3 linked regions of the Drosophila melanogaster genome follow. Changing the gene in region 1 together with any one later gene gives a genetic interaction. Each region holds a gene or a part of one and is shown in the gene's direction. Other genes may lie near its edges. The genes, in order: Pax, cdi and Mp20.

Region 1 (5,440 bases):
ATGTACATGGGTCCATACATACATATGTACATACATACATACTTATGTACATACATACATATGTGCAAAGTGCACAAGTAAATGAATGAGCTTTTAATTCGGGAAGTGGCTATTGCGATAGCTGTGGTCCGATTCGCGCATTCCTTGCACTTTTATGAATAATCCTAATTCCTTGAATCGAACATAAAAGCATCGCGCTCAGCACTTCCAGTGTGAAATCATTTACAATTCTAGAAAGCAAGGAGGGTGTGGTTTCTTGCAGCCCCAAGTTCGAAACCCTTGTACTCATGTGAATGATCTGGTCTGAGAGAGGCAGCTTAATCAGCCGGGCTGTATTTGCTTTCTTCGCTGCCCCACAGTGCTCTTTTAGTCTCCATCAGCGAAATAAAAGTCTACATGTCGTCTCACTTTATTTTCTTTATGACACAATTCTTCGCTGTTTCGGAATGTCTTTTGATAAAAATATAAAAGTGAAGCAAAACGAAATCTGCAGCCGAGAGTTGTGTGTCCAGAAATTCTTAAGAAATGACTAAAGGCCAGGCCACTAACACTTATGAAGAATTCCAGCTGACTTGCCCTACACCTACGCACAGTGGTCTAAGAGCCCGCTAAAATTTGCTTATCGGCTGGGCTTGTAGGATTCTAGATCTTAAGAAACTTTCATATAGAGCTTTTGCAAAATCATGTTAAATAACAAATAATATTTCAGATCACTTTTTAGATTACAATAATATAATAATAACTATAATACTGAAATTCGTTCGAGATCTTAAAATCTCAGCATAAATATTCTGCCCTCGAAGCTTTACTTCGCACAGGAAGTAGAGGCTTCAGCTTCATCTCCAACTTCATCTTGATCTTCTCCAGCAACTCAGTTGCATCAATCTTGCTTTGCTGCCATTAGTGAGTGCGCGCCCACTTCATCGCCCACTCGACACGCAATGTCTTCTGTTCGTGTTGCGTGTGCGCACTGTAACAGCAAAGACGAGATGATCTGTCGAGATCGGTTAGGTCTGTCTGGGCATTGAGCGTCGATGGCGTTTTCCGCCGAGGGGAGCACTCCAACTGCAGAGCAATGATCGCTTATGGTTACGGGGAAAGGTTCGCACAGTGGGACGAAAGGTTAAAGAGTTTTTGAGATCCCATTTCTGCCTTTTCTGTGATCGTATCAATGTATATCACAGTGTTCATGGTCATGAAAGTATATAATTAGTTATCTTCTATGTTTGTCGATAAACAATTGTAAAGCCTAAGCAGCTGTTAAGTGATAAGCATTTCCAACATGACTGTCCCAGAGGAATTTTGTTTATACCAATTTTCACTGTCATTTTATGAAACATTTAATCTTGCGGATTGTCTGTACAATTGAAGATAGTTTCAGAAATGTTTTGATATTGGATGCCTTTGACTCACGTTTTCGTTTATTCGTCAGCAACGAAGGGGTTGGTTTTCTTGGCAGCTGGCCCACTGTTCACACACCCAAAGGAAAGCTCCAATCGGGCGACAATATTTTCGTCCGCTCTGGTTTCCTTTCGCTGTGCCTCCCACTTGCGGTCGAAATGCTCAGCCGCAGGCCGCAAGCCAAAATGAAAAGCCACTCCAAGTGAAAAGCTACGTGGTGGGGCTCTTTCTCTCTTTTAACTGGCTCTCTTGGCACTGAAAATAAAATACGACAATATGGACTCTGATTTAAAATACATTTTTTTTAAATTCGATTTTTCAAAATTAGTTTACTACTTGTTTACTAGTTTATTAGTTGTTTACTCAGAAACAACAATAATCATAATACTGGTTTCACAAGCTGTAACCGCTGATACATACTTTTTAAACATTCCTTTAGATATATATTACTTTAGATATAGCCCCTATTACGAAGCTAAGCTATCGTTTTGAATATACTATGCCTATCCATACATCCATACATCTATAAATCTAAGAAGATTTTTTCGCAGTGCAGTTTGTTTACCAGCTCTCAAACGCTTCGCTCTCTTGCTCCCCCGCTCTCCGTGAGCAGCTGCGAGAGAGCCGGAGCGCTCGTCTATTGGAGCCTCAGCATCGGGCCCCCCTTTGGATTTCAGTCGATTGCGACGCTTTTACTGAATCGCGAGCGCAGCGCGTGTGTTTTTCGGAGTCTCTCGATTGCGGTCTCCCAACGGCGTCCTACGATCTCTGGGATTAATATATAGAATATGTGACAACACACTGCCAAAGGTGCAGGCAAAAGTGCACAGATAACGCGATAGAATATACATATAAGAAACCAAGCCTAATCAAAACAAAAGGCAACGAAAAAGTGTTTAACGGCAAACTACGGCGGGAAAAAGTTGATGAAAATCAGTGGAATCGTGTTAGTGGCAGGTTGGAGCGTGGGAAATTGTTTACTTCGAGTGCAAGAACAGTTTGCAGTAAAAAAAAAAGTTGACAAACATCAAAAGATATCTAGCACTAAGATAAACGATAAAGCAGGAATGCCAGAAGCAGTTAGCTAAAAAAAATAATATAATATAATAAACTGGCCAAGATTTATGGATCCGTGTCACTCGCCTTAAGATTCCACTAACTCTTGGCAAATCTTTTCGGCGCGTTGCTCGCAAAACATTTCAATTTCATTAGCATTTCCACTAATTATGGAACTAATTATCAACGGACAAGACATTCGAATATATGACATATTTGCCCAGATCTGGCAGAGCATAGAATTTTGGTTAGCCCCATTAATTTTCGCCTCGGGGCCCCGAACGGATTAAGATCGTGGGTGTGTTGAGATGGAAATTAATTCGGTATTTCTGTGTTTTTCTGGAGGGAAATGACCGAAATAGCCAAACAAACATAACAACAGGCAGCAAAAGCAATTAAATTGTGCCCACTTAATCTATTAAAATTATGACATTTTTCACATATTTCAAGCAATCGAAGCCAAGTGCATTCTCACGAGTGGTGGTGGTAGTGCGATGGGGGGGGGGGGGACTTCCTTCCCCTTCCCCTCGTAAAAGTATCTCGAGTTACGACAGCAGATGGAAATGCTGGAGAATGATGTAAACTCGGCTGACATAGTGCGCACAAATGAATATTTTGTTGTTGGGGGGTTCTGCACTTACGAGAATCGCTTTCGTTTTCTCCCCAATATTTTGTATCTCGCAGATACGTTCAGTGGATGCCATTTGTTTACGACCAGACAGCTGCTGTCTTTGTCTCTCCGATTGTCTGTGCGTTTTGAAACCTCTAACTAAGTATCTACAGATCACTCTGGATCTCTGGATTATTTGGGTTTAAAAGCTCGTTTTAAGCCCCAACTACTTAGCACCTCTGGATTCTCCATCATCGTAATTCATAGTGCAGTGAGTTCATCGCCAGGTTTGAGTTCGATTTTCGTTTGCTCAGCGAGTTGCTCTGTGTTTTGTTGTTGTTGTTCCTTGTTTCTGTTCTTTCAACTGGAAACAAGATTCTTATCGCCCAGCCATACAAATTCAATTAGAGTGTGTTGTTTCGATTGCTAGCGAAAGATGAGTGGCTTCGATAGATTTCGAAATCGTTAATTGTTAGCAGCGAGTTGATGTGCAATTAAAACATTGGGTTAGATTCATTGCTCACAAATATTTTGAAATAAATAAGTGCAATACTATTGAATTGTTTGCAATCGACAAATATAACCAATTAAGCTTCCATTGAGCCAATCAAAAGACATTGATATTTAATTCCAGAAAAGCCTTTTATCTGCTCAGTACGTAGGCCATTGGCCAATATAGGGTCTATATATCTTATCAAGACCCCAAAGGCCCCAAAAGTCAGTGGGCGATAGCTCGTCGCTTTTTCCCGAACCTATTACAGAAGTGGAATGTGAAAAGCACGCACAGTTTACAGCGGCATAAATTGGCCAAGTTTATTGAAAGGCCCGGCTAAAGGCCACTGAGCGGTGAAGAGAGATCGGTATCACCCACACAAATGAATTTCCCTGGGCTGATACCCACTTTTCCGTTTGGCCACGCATTGCGTTTTCACCTTAGCGCCTTCGGCAAGGTCAACACTCGCATTCACACACATTTTATCTACTTACTAATAAAATATTTATATTGAGATCGCTAGGAATTTCCTGCAAAATAAACACGAAATTGTGCCTTTGACTTTTGAATTTGACTTCGTAGAAGGAAGACCGAATCGAGAACAACAATTTCGGCCCGACGTCATTCCCAAATGGACTGAGTAATGCCTCAGGTGTGGAGGTAAATGGATTTGGACTTGACTATAGCCAAGACCTGGAAGGAAAGTGAGATTTTTATTTTCTTATTGCCCTTCCTTTTGGCAACGATCTGCGGAAATCTCTCGTATTTTCAATTAATTTCGCTCGATTTTCCCAGTTTAGCCTCCCTTTGTTAGACGACGAAACGTCGCCTTTGATTTGCTAGAAATGTTTTTTTTTTTTGTTTTTTTATTTTTCTTTTGGATATTTTTAGTTGGCGATCATTGGTGTTGACGTAATTTGGCAACCTTGATTCCCCGTTCCCTTCTCGATACTCGTATTTTTGGCCCGGCTCGCTTTGTGTTCGGTCGGTGAATTTATGTTTATTATTTTTTACCTTTTTCCAATGTGTCGTTATTTGTTTGGAACGAAAATCTAAAATGTGGCCTGCATGTTCATTTTGGTATTTTTATGCTTCCATAAATCTGTCTTTATAGACCGTTTGTTGGCTCAACTAAATCTACAGGCCATCGTAAATTGAGTTAGTTGCATAGATCATCTATTGAGATTCACCCACGCACATTGGGATTAGGAAGTCAGAGTAACTGGTCCGGACTTTTTGGTCTGATTTATCGCTCTTGTTGGTGTTTTTATGGATCTTTAGATACGGTTAGATTGATTTGCATCTTCAGTGATTACGCTATAAAGAACCATTTTTGACTTCTCTATCTTTTTGATCTTTAGATACGGAAGATTAAGGTGCATCTTAAGTAGAGTAATCACTTCAGATGAAGATCATTTGACTTGTTTGACAGTGGACTTTCATTGACTTAACTAAATATCTTTGTTTCGAGTATTGATTTAGGTAATTTATTTCTTAGGTTTGAAGCATGATGAACTGATGAACTGACAGACAATGTTTACATTACCAGTAGATTTATTTCTCGTCTTTTTGAGAGCTCTTCATCATATATGCAGCTTAGATCATAGATCTCTCACCTCACCACATCCCTTTAATCTTTTAATGCGGTATTTTGTCAGTCTCAGTCAATTAATAGAGGAAATTCGAATGCACAAAGCACTCTCCAGACAACAATTTCCAACATTAAATCACTTGGACTTCCACGGGGGCAGGGAACTAGTTTCTTTCAATTTTTTGTTTCTTCTTTTTTTTGTGGACTGGGGCAAAGCTCTGATAGACGGGCGAAGACAACGACAACTTCGACGACGACAACTACAATATCCACTCTCTGACAGGCTAAC
Region 2 (5,002 bases), on another chromosome or scaffold:
ATCGAACAGACGACCAACGAAGCCAGTGTCAGAGTGCTCCTCGTGCGCTCCGGTTTAGTGGTGTCCCTGGGCTTCGGCCTCCAGCTGCTCCTTGGACTTGTAGCCGACCTGCTCCTCGGGAGTGTGGGGCCAGAAGGTGGGCTTGTTGAGGGGATCGAGTGCGCTATCGGGGAATGCGTCGCGGTAGTCCTCCATGGTCATCTGGTCGTAGGGCAGCAGAGACTTGAGATGGGCGATCTCCTTTTGGTAGTTCTGAATGCGCTGCTCCGAGGCCTTCTTGTAGGCATCGATTTCGCTCTGCGACGCCTTGATCTCGGCATCCACCTGGGACGACACCTTGTCCTGGGGATAGGGCACCTTCAGGGCTTCGTACTGCTTCTGGAAGCTATCGACGAGTCCGGCCACTGGCACAAGCTTCTTGTAGTTGGCCCAATCGATCTGGGGTGGGCACTCGGGATTGGCCAGCACGGCGCGCACATAGATGTCCGACTTGGTCTTGAAGGCGCCGAAGCTGCTCTTCTGGTTGGCGGGCACGCGCTCGGCGAGAGCGGACCAGTTGATCGAGGATTGGGCGATACGGCGGGCGGCCATTCTGCACAGATACTGCAAGACAACAACAAAAGCGGGGATGAGGTTAGGTTTTTGGGTTTATAGAGGTGGTAAGTGATTTCTAGGTGTCCTGGAACTGTGCAGCGATATTCTTATTAGTTGAAATGTAATCTCTGCTTCTTTAGTTGCAGACTTATCGACATAATGCACGGCGAGTTATGCTCGCAAAAATTATGTAATTTTTTTCAATCCTCAATGTTCCTTCAAACTAAAAACGCGTTTGCAGTCCTTTCCTCGAGGCTTGCAGACTAATCGCTGTTGTAGCCCAACCGTGCGCTTTTTTTTTATTATTTTTGCAGTGTTTAACGTAACGTACTTATATTTTCAAGGAGAAAAATAAGAATTTCTGCCTCTGCAACCAACACTTACACTTTGAGTACGAATGTGACCAGAGCTGGGGAAAATACCACATAATGTGGAAACTGAACCAGGGCTACCACAGATTCTTAATAACTAATTTAGGAGTCTTTAAATCTTACCCTCGGGTCGGTCACACTATCAGCTGCCTGGCAGCAAAAACACGATTTAAGTGTAGCTCTTATTTAGTGTAAATATTGTGATTATCAATTAAAATGTTGCTGAAACAGTTGCCCCAGGCTGTTCAGCAGATACGCTGCATCTCATCGGCCACGACGGCGGTTACCAGGCTGCATCGCTCGGTTTACTGCCGGCTATATCCCACAGTTGTGGTGCAACCCGATGGATCCACGATAAACATCCGCTATCACGAGCCCAGGAAGATTATCAAGGTAACGTTAGTTACTATAACTTAACGAAACCATAATTAACGAGTACCATCTACTAGCTTCCCTTGGATCTGAGCACCTTAACCGATGCGGAGCGCAGAGCGAGATTGGAGGCCCGCAAGCCGCGCAAGAAGGTCAAGATCATGGAGGAGGTGGAGGACAACTTCAACGCCAAGAAGTACATGAAGTACATCAAAAAGAAGTAGCCGCATTTTATTCACTATTTGTTAAATAAAACACGAAAGCCCGTTATATAATTGTTTTAAATTAGAATTAAGAAATTGTGCTCGTTATCGATAGTGTATATCGCACATCTGGTATTTTTGTTATCGGTTTCAGCATGGGCCCTCCACTTTTTTCCACCATCCCACAACGGTCACTCTAATCGAGTCGGAAAACAAAGTCGGACGTCTAGCTGCGCGTCGCTCCCGAAGAACTGTTAATTTGTGGACGCTTTTTCGCGAGTGCAGACATAAATGAAAGCAACATATCTTTAGCTCCATTCCAGACTGGATCATAGGCTATAGCCCGTTAGAGCAGTGCCAGTGAATCGGTTACCGAATTATAATCTCGCTCTGCGTCGGCTGAGTGGTAATGTTGAATGGACAGTCGCGTCTAACAAAAAAAAAAAAAAACAAGTACACACAACCAACGACGAATGCACATAAACAAGACGAGACAGCAAACGCAGAATCGAGTGAAAACCTATTTTAAAACACCAGAGCTATATTTATTTTGTTGACGCTCAGGATTTTCGGTCCTCGCATTTGTGATGTCTGCGGGTGCGTGTGAGTGCGCGAGTGCGAATGTGTTGGTTGCATATCACGGCGGATGCGAATAACTGCAATTGCAATAGAGAGCAGACACATACACACAAACACAAGCATAATTGGATTATGGCCACACGGCAATAAGAACGGAGGGAGAGAGAGAGAGCAGTCGCCAAAACCAAACGGGTAAATAAATAGTATTAGCAGAAATCGGTTAAAAGCCAGAATTAAATGGATTAGACCTGTGCTATCGTTGGCATTTCCCCATCGCTGTGTGCGTGCGTGTCTGTGTGCGGAAGCAACCTAGAGATGGGCCTGACCTTAGCTTTCGCACACTGCCTGCCAAAAGTTGCCACCCGCTGCTTTCGCTGCATCTTGACACAACATGGTTTTCAAGGTTCTACCGAGATAAAAACACAAATATAATTTCGTAACGGGAAATGCAAAATTGTCATGTACTATTGTATATTTAAACATTTAGAATTGAGGGTAAATAGGTTTGCAATCTTATATTTTAACTTACGTTGATTGTATTTTGTCTTAAATATAATAAAACATAATGCGTAAATAATGTGTCTATTTATACTTCGTAAATGCTAAATTTAAAGTAAACATTGTAGAGCTAAAACTTGTTACTTTTTCACATCTGTTTCGAATAGCATAGCCATATGATCTAATTTGAAAAGCAAATGCTTAAATTTTTTGTGAGCTCAGCAGAATCATTTCCATATTCATTTGAATCGAACCTGTTGTCACCATGCGATGCACTCGGAAATCTGGCTCATCTCTAACACGTGCGTGTGTGCGAGCGTCTGGAATTCGAAATTTGAAATTCGAAATGGGGAAGGTTTTGTGCGAAGGGGAGCGTAAATATTTTCGTAAGCAGCGGAAATGTAAAAATAACACAAACACATTTGCAAGTTATGATGAAGATGCTTCCGATGTTGGTGCTGGTTTTCCCAGCATTCGCTCTCTCCTTAGTCTCAGTTTCTCCCTTTTTTTCCGATTCGGTCGATTCAGCGGAAAGACAGTTTTCCACGTAAAACTGCGACAGATGTTCACGGCTCATTATCCGGGGATCGAGAAGCTATAGCTCCCAATTCGAATGCACATTCCACTTGGGTTTCCTCCCGAAATGCAGCTGCCCTATTGGGATTTTGCCGGTTTGGTGGTTGTTGGCTGTTGCTACTGCTGCATTTTTGTGGTGTTTTTTTTTTTTTCGTTGTGGTCTTTCGTGGTGTTTATAAAATTAACAGTAAACTCCCCCGTACTTCCGCCCTTGGCAGCTGGCTGTTAATGCTGCCTAAGCTAATTTGTTTTCATTTGTGTGTGTCCGCATAGAGGGGAATAAAATAAATAAAATAAACGAAACGATTTGTGCTCACTCTACGCGCCCTTCCTATTGTATTTGTTATTGTTCGATTTTTGCACCTCCTTCGGTTGCATTCATCAAGTGTTTTGTTTTGTTCGATCTTCTTATAGGACTTGCACTTGAGGCTGAAAATAAACCCATTTGGTTTTCGTTTTTGTTGACGTTCTTGTTGGATTTCTTCGATCCTAAAGTTTATTTACGTATAGTTTTGCTGCAGATCGATGGGCGGCACGTGAGTGCCCTCCCCCCGAAAGCCGACTGGCTGCCAATTAGTCGAAATGTCTAAATGGCGCAGTGATCGTTGGACATTCAGAAATAGTTTAGAAAACGACGGTTCTGTACCAAAGGAAAGTGAAATTTTTGTCTGCCCGGCTAATTAAGCTTATCTTATGCTTTCAGTCGAAAATTCCATTGCCTTTGAATTTATTTGGTAGATTTGTATACACACATATTTCTCCTCGCTTTCCATTTCGTTACGTGAATCACTTGTTGTACGGCCTCTGGAGTCTAAACTTTAAACTCAAGAGAATAAAAAACTAACGATAACTGGCACCTCACACCTTCGATGGGCTTGGAATTTATTCAAAATACACCAAATTTACATACATAGATTCTTTTTCATAAGTAGGCATACATATAGGTAGAGAGCGGATGCAGCCAGCACCTCCCCGGCTGAATGAGTTGGTAGTTTTTCCAAGTGTGGGTGTATCTGTATCTCTCAGATAGCCAGCGATATATAGGCGTAGAAGAATTTATGAGCGCGACAACGACATGAATTTCATTCAGTCTTTGTTGTTTCTGTGGGCCCAAGAGTGTGCCATGTCCCATTTTCCACTTCTTTTTTTTTTGTGTTTCTCGGTTTTTGTTGTTCTTTGATAATTTTGCTCTGCCTCGGCGTCTCATCTCTTTGTTTATAGAAATTTCTTCTTCTTGAGCTGCCTTGGCTTCTTTTCGCCGTCTCCTCGTCTTTGTTTTTCTTTCTACACGGCAATGAAGTGGCATTTTTTCTGCCGCTGACCAACTTTCCTTTTCATTAACGCTTTTTTCGGACTCTAAACGCAAGACGCTTCCTGAACGCATCACTTCTCGGTGCGTTACTTGCTCCCTACTTGAATGTGCCTGAACAGCAAATCATTTCCAATTTCATAACCAAGATTTATGCCTCTTTAATGGCCCAGCTGAAACGATGCAGTGTGCATTGCACACAATTCTCCTGGCACGCGTCTACGTAGGCGAAGATACCACGATGATGCTGCTGCTGATGATGATGATGATGCAGACGGTGGTGGCCGCGACGACCCTTGGCCCCATAAAAATGCAACTTGATCTCACAGCACGGCAACAAAGTCACCGCAGTCGACAGCGGTTTATTGACTCGAACCTTGTGGCGGTTAACGGTTTAACATTCGTTTTGGAAAATGCCATAAACGCCATCGAAAGCAAACGGCGATAAGTGGTGTGCTGAAATTAATTTCATTGGTTTCTCTCTAGCAAACATATTAGGA
Region 3 (4,880 bases), on another chromosome or scaffold:
GGAGACGATAGTAATAGTACTTTCCAAAACCATCGGGTGTGTGCCATCGCGTAATTGAATTTGATTCTTTCACTTGACGAGCCACACCCCTCAGCAAATGCAATTACAATAATTTAATTGCCGTGAAAAATGGCCGCCCGGCTGCGGGGCATTAATTAAATTTTTGCGAAGACAATAGTCAAAACCCAGCCTGCGGCGCATTTAATTCACTTAAATGGCAACCAATGCGGTTTACTTCAATTCGCCGCGTATTTGTTAATTAAAATAAAAATGTAAGAAAGAAAACGCTCCGTCGAAGTGCCGCGGGCCAAGGAGGCGGTAAAAATAAACGAACACGCCATCTGTTTTTCTCCGCCGTGGGAAAAACAAGAAAAGCCTGGAAAATCTCAACTATTTCGGCTCGGCTCCACCTGTTCGGCGTCGAGAATTTAGAAATAGTCGCGCTACCCATAGCACAAATTCGTCGCGCCTTTTACGTGTATCTCGTAGATTTTCCGACTGTTATCGAAATTGTATCTGCTCTAGCAAAAGATTTTCCCCCATCCCGAAATAGATGTCGCTGTGCGATTTGTTTGTTTGGCTTTCCCCCCCGAAATACTCTAATAAAATATTAATTTTTGTGGGGGGGCACGAACTTTGACAGTTCCCAGTCGCCTTGACTGGTCGCCTCTTCACTTTATTGCCCTCTCGTTAATTTTGAAGGCATGTTTTGCTGATGGCTGTCCTCGAACAAAGTGCTTTTCAATAACACAAGGCACATAATTCAAGTTAATTTCCCGCTCATAAAGTAATCGCTGTCCTTTTTACTTTTTAAAGCTTGCAAATTGCTCCGTCTTTTCCTGGAGACATTATTTATATCCATTATCAGATTATAAATACATTGTATGAATATTTCAATAATATTTATAAAAATTTAAAACATTAGTATGATAGTAGTATGATGAAATTATTTCGAATATTCTCTTAATAAACTAATTGGCATGTTCTAAATTGTGAATATTGCAAAGGATGCTCCTCACATTTTGTAAATCTCTGTAAATTCTGAAGGACGTGTCTTTGGAAGATTTGATTATCAAATATATTTGAAATACCAATTAAATCCAATTTGAAAAACATTTTCAGTAAAAATTAATAAGTACATGTCATTTTTGTAAACTTTTTATGCAGAAAGTCCTTTTAACAAGAAATTGCCATGTCGCTGATCTGATCTGATAACTGTGAATAATTGTGAGGATGTCCATGTCATCATAAATTTCGCTGTAAATTCTGGAGGATGTGTCGCTCGATGGGAACCAATTTGCTGCCATTTTTAATTATGACCCAATGCATGCCGATGGAAATTACGGGCAACGAATGCACGCGCCCGAAATGAGTTCAAAATGACAGCAGGACAGCAAGTCCGAAAAAATGCGGCTAACATGCAAATGAGCAGTACTTTGAAGAGCACAATCTACACACACTCGCACACACACACACACACACATACCATCGATTGGAAATGTGTGAAAATAATGAAGCATTTGGATTTTTCCTTTTTCTCAACCGATGATGATCTAAAATTATAACGCACGATTCATACGCGGGAGACGGGCAAAGTCGGCGTTTCGAATATATAGAACGCCCACGCTGCAAAATTTTCACACACTCGACTCCGAATTCGGATATATTTTTGGAAAATTCTTGAACGAATTCGTCGGAGAACGCTCTCTCGCGCTTTAAAAGCCGCATACGCCCCGTTGGCTGGCATCAGTGTTAGCTTGTCAGAGCTTTAGTGAAGATCCCGCAGGACCCGAAACCAAAAACCAAGAATCAAACATGTCTCTTGAGCGTGCCGTTCGTGCCAAGGTGAATACTCAATCAGTGAAGAAAAAAGATCCTTAAGAAAACATAGATATAAAGGAAAATAGATGAAAGAAATGTGAAATTACCAAACAGTTTTGTGAAATATTGTGCCTAAAATATGAATTTTTTCTTATCCGATCCACCTAGATTGCCAGCAAGCGCAATCCCGAGATGGACAAGGAGGCCCAGGAGTGGATCGAGGCCATCATTGCCGAGAAGTTCCCCGCCGGCCAGTCCTACGAGGATGTGCTCAAGGACGGTCAGGTGCTGTGCAAACTGATCAACGTGCTGTCGCCCAATGCCGTGCCCAAGGTCAACTCCTCGGGCGGCCAGTTCAAGTTCATGGAGAACATCAACAACTTCCAGAAGGCCCTGAAGGAGTACGGTGTGCCCGACATCGATGTCTTCCAGACCGTCGATCTGTACGAGAAGAAGGATATTGCCAACGTTACCAACACCATCTTCGCTTTGGGCCGTGCCGTAAGTTTCAAATCGCCTTCTATCCCATTGTCAGCCAGGCTAATCCTTGAATTGCGGCTCATTGCAGACCTACAAGCATGCCGACTTCAAGGGTCCCTTCCTGGGCCCCAAGCCCGCCGATGAGTGCAAGCGCGATTTCACCGAAGAGCAGCTGAAGGCTGGCCAGACCATTGTGGGTCTGCAGGCCGGTTCCAACAAGGGAGCCACCCAGGCTGGCCAGAACCTCGGCGCTGGCCGCAAGATCCTGCTCGGCAAGTAAGCGCCAAAGGATGGCCAGGATGTCCACACCCTTTTCTACACTTATGCTAAGTGAACACACCCATATATATTTTGTATGATGAAAAACATGAAGAACACAATGATATTCCTCACCAAAGCAAAACTCAACACCAATGAACACACACTCACACAAAACAACACATAAAAGCAACGCAAAGGCTTGTCGCCTTATATTAAGTATACGCCTAAGTTAATCTATTTATGAGTACAATAAAGTAATTCAAAGAACCCAGTTTTCCACTTTCCGATCACCTCTATAACCTTGAGCTCTCTACGTTCTTGCTGCTGTTGTTTGTGTGGGTGTACAGACTTTATTTATCTGCCTATGGTGCGTTCTAAAAATGAATTTCATACCTATAGCCATATAGCTGAATATATATATATACTATATATGCATCATCGTATCAACGTTATAAAGCAAACATAAACACACTCTGTTGAGTGTGTGCGATGTGTGAAACATTCCATCGAAGCGTGTCGAGGTCAGAACATCAGCGTTGGGCAGAGTTATTATCAAGATGGGCATCTCGACACTGACTTTTACATATATTTTATATGTAGCGAAAGGAATTTCCCCCAAACTCACCTGTCCGAGGCGTGAAATTGTTCCCACGAAAGAACACACACAACATTATGTATTGCAGGTGCAACTATGCTGGTGCCAAAAATGAAAAAAACCAGACATCTCTCGCGAATATTTCACGCCTTCAGCTGGCACTTTTCTAATTTCTCGATTTATTATAGTTTGTCAGTGGGTGGAATTGATCTCTGTTGGCTTATTATGCTGAAAGCAAAGAGCAGGAATGGAAGAATCTGGAAATATTTTGTATTAATTGTATGTTAGATCTATTGAAAAAATATGTCTTAGAACGCAGAATATATTCAGCATGGATTTGTTATTAGTTTTAAATGACGCAGTCTGCAAATGAAATATTTTCCTCATTCGTTTTGGCTAATTGAAGTGTACTCAGGTCGTGTGTACAATATTTTAGACTCAAATAGTGCTCAGAAAGGATGATTAAGAATAAAGCGTGCCAATTTCCGAATCGGTATATTTAGAATTTTGAAAATTTCCAACAATTGGTTGCTAGAAATATTAATGAGAACAACCAAACGGTATTTCCCCTTGGTTTTGTTGTTTTCTTCAACATATATATATGGATGGAATAAATAAAAGCAGGCAAATAAATAACAAACTTGACACTGAAAATGTGGGGGATATATATATATATATACATATATATTAATAATGGTTCATTAAGAGATTTTCTCTACCGTTTCAGGGTTATTATTGATGCATAAGCTTACGACTAGGAAGTCTTGAATTTTCCATTGTTTATAGCATTAATAAACGACAAATATTATATTATTTTTGTGGAAAAATGTATTTGGTTGAAAAGTGGTAATAGCCCTATTAAATAATCGAGCTCTTTTTTCGAGGTGACATCAAACTTTGCAGCTGATTGGTAAGTGATTTTAGGGTTTCCCGGAGACTCGAGACCATTTTCTCCTTTTCACGAACATAGGCGACAGTTCGATCGTAGTCATACATCAATGCGGGCATAGCCAGGATACCACCCTGGCATGTCAAATCTCTCATCCGGCGCCTAATAGCCTTGTGCTCCAGTTTTCGGCGACACAGCTCGGATTTTAGTTTATTTTTCAACTTGTGCTTTTCCAGCAGGTTATCTTTAAGAACGTGAATTTTGTTCTTAAGCTCGTGGGACTTCTCTCGATTGTGCTTAGTCATATGCAGTTCGGTGTGGTAGAGCCTGCGCTGTCTTTTTAATTCAATATTTCGCTCTGATGGAGATGATTATTATGCATATAATAATGAACAAATTTTAAGCAGAGATGTTCATAGGACTATACCTTCAATCTTCTTTTCTAGGCCGATCGTTTTGTTTTGCACGGAAATAAAGTCATTCAAGCTCACACCGTCGCAAACCGTTTCTACATCTCTTATTTTCTAAATGGAGATGTTTCAGAAAAGTATGTTGATACAAGTAAAACAATCAAATTAGAAAACATATGAAAAATTGGAAAACAATATTGGTGATAGTAAATATAATGAAAAACTACATGGCTGGATAGTGGGAAGCAATGTGTTGTAAAATATTGTGAATAACTTAATAGCATTATGTGACAATTTGAATGAGCATAACCGGCGGATAACATGGTTGCTAACATAGCATATAACATGTCGGATAACATAGCATGTAACATGAGTTGGCAGACAACACGGCGATTAACATATAATGTAATATGACGGATAACAT

The links.
Region 2: of Pax (region 1) and cdi, changing one suppresses a phenotype caused by changing the other (phenotypic suppression), as found in Drosophila melanogaster (one study listed by BioGRID).
Region 3: of Pax (region 1) and Mp20, changing one enhances a phenotype caused by changing the other (phenotypic enhancement), as found in Drosophila melanogaster (one study listed by BioGRID).

Annotation. Positions count from the first base shown.
Region 1 is NT_033779.5:19,420,186-19,425,625, reverse strand, and holds the start of Pax (paxillin), read left to right. Parts: upstream 1-2,073; 5' UTR 2,074-2,211; exon of another isoform or gene 2,212-2,347; intron 2,348-5,434; 5' UTR 5,435-5,440.
Region 2 is NT_033777.3:19,090,998-19,095,999, reverse strand, and holds the start of cdi (center divider), read left to right. Parts: upstream 1-1,729; 5' UTR 1,730-2,311; intron 2,312-5,002. Other genes in the region: ATPsynD (ATP synthase, subunit D), read right to left, coding at 55-591; mRpL55 (mitochondrial ribosomal protein L55), read left to right, coding at 1,182-1,358, 1,415-1,561.
Region 3 is NT_033778.4:13,244,928-13,249,807, forward strand, and holds Mp20 (muscle protein 20), read left to right. Parts: upstream 1-1,742; 5' UTR 1,743-1,815; coding exon 1,816-1,845; intron 1,846-1,989; coding exon 1,990-2,322; intron 2,323-2,389; coding exon 2,390-2,577; coding exon of another isoform or gene 2,578-2,581; exon of another isoform or gene 2,582-2,832; intron 2,833-3,884; coding exon 3,885-3,903; 3' UTR 3,904-3,953; downstream 3,954-4,880. Other genes in the region: CG4712 (uncharacterized protein), read right to left, coding at 4,016-4,404, 4,474-4,570.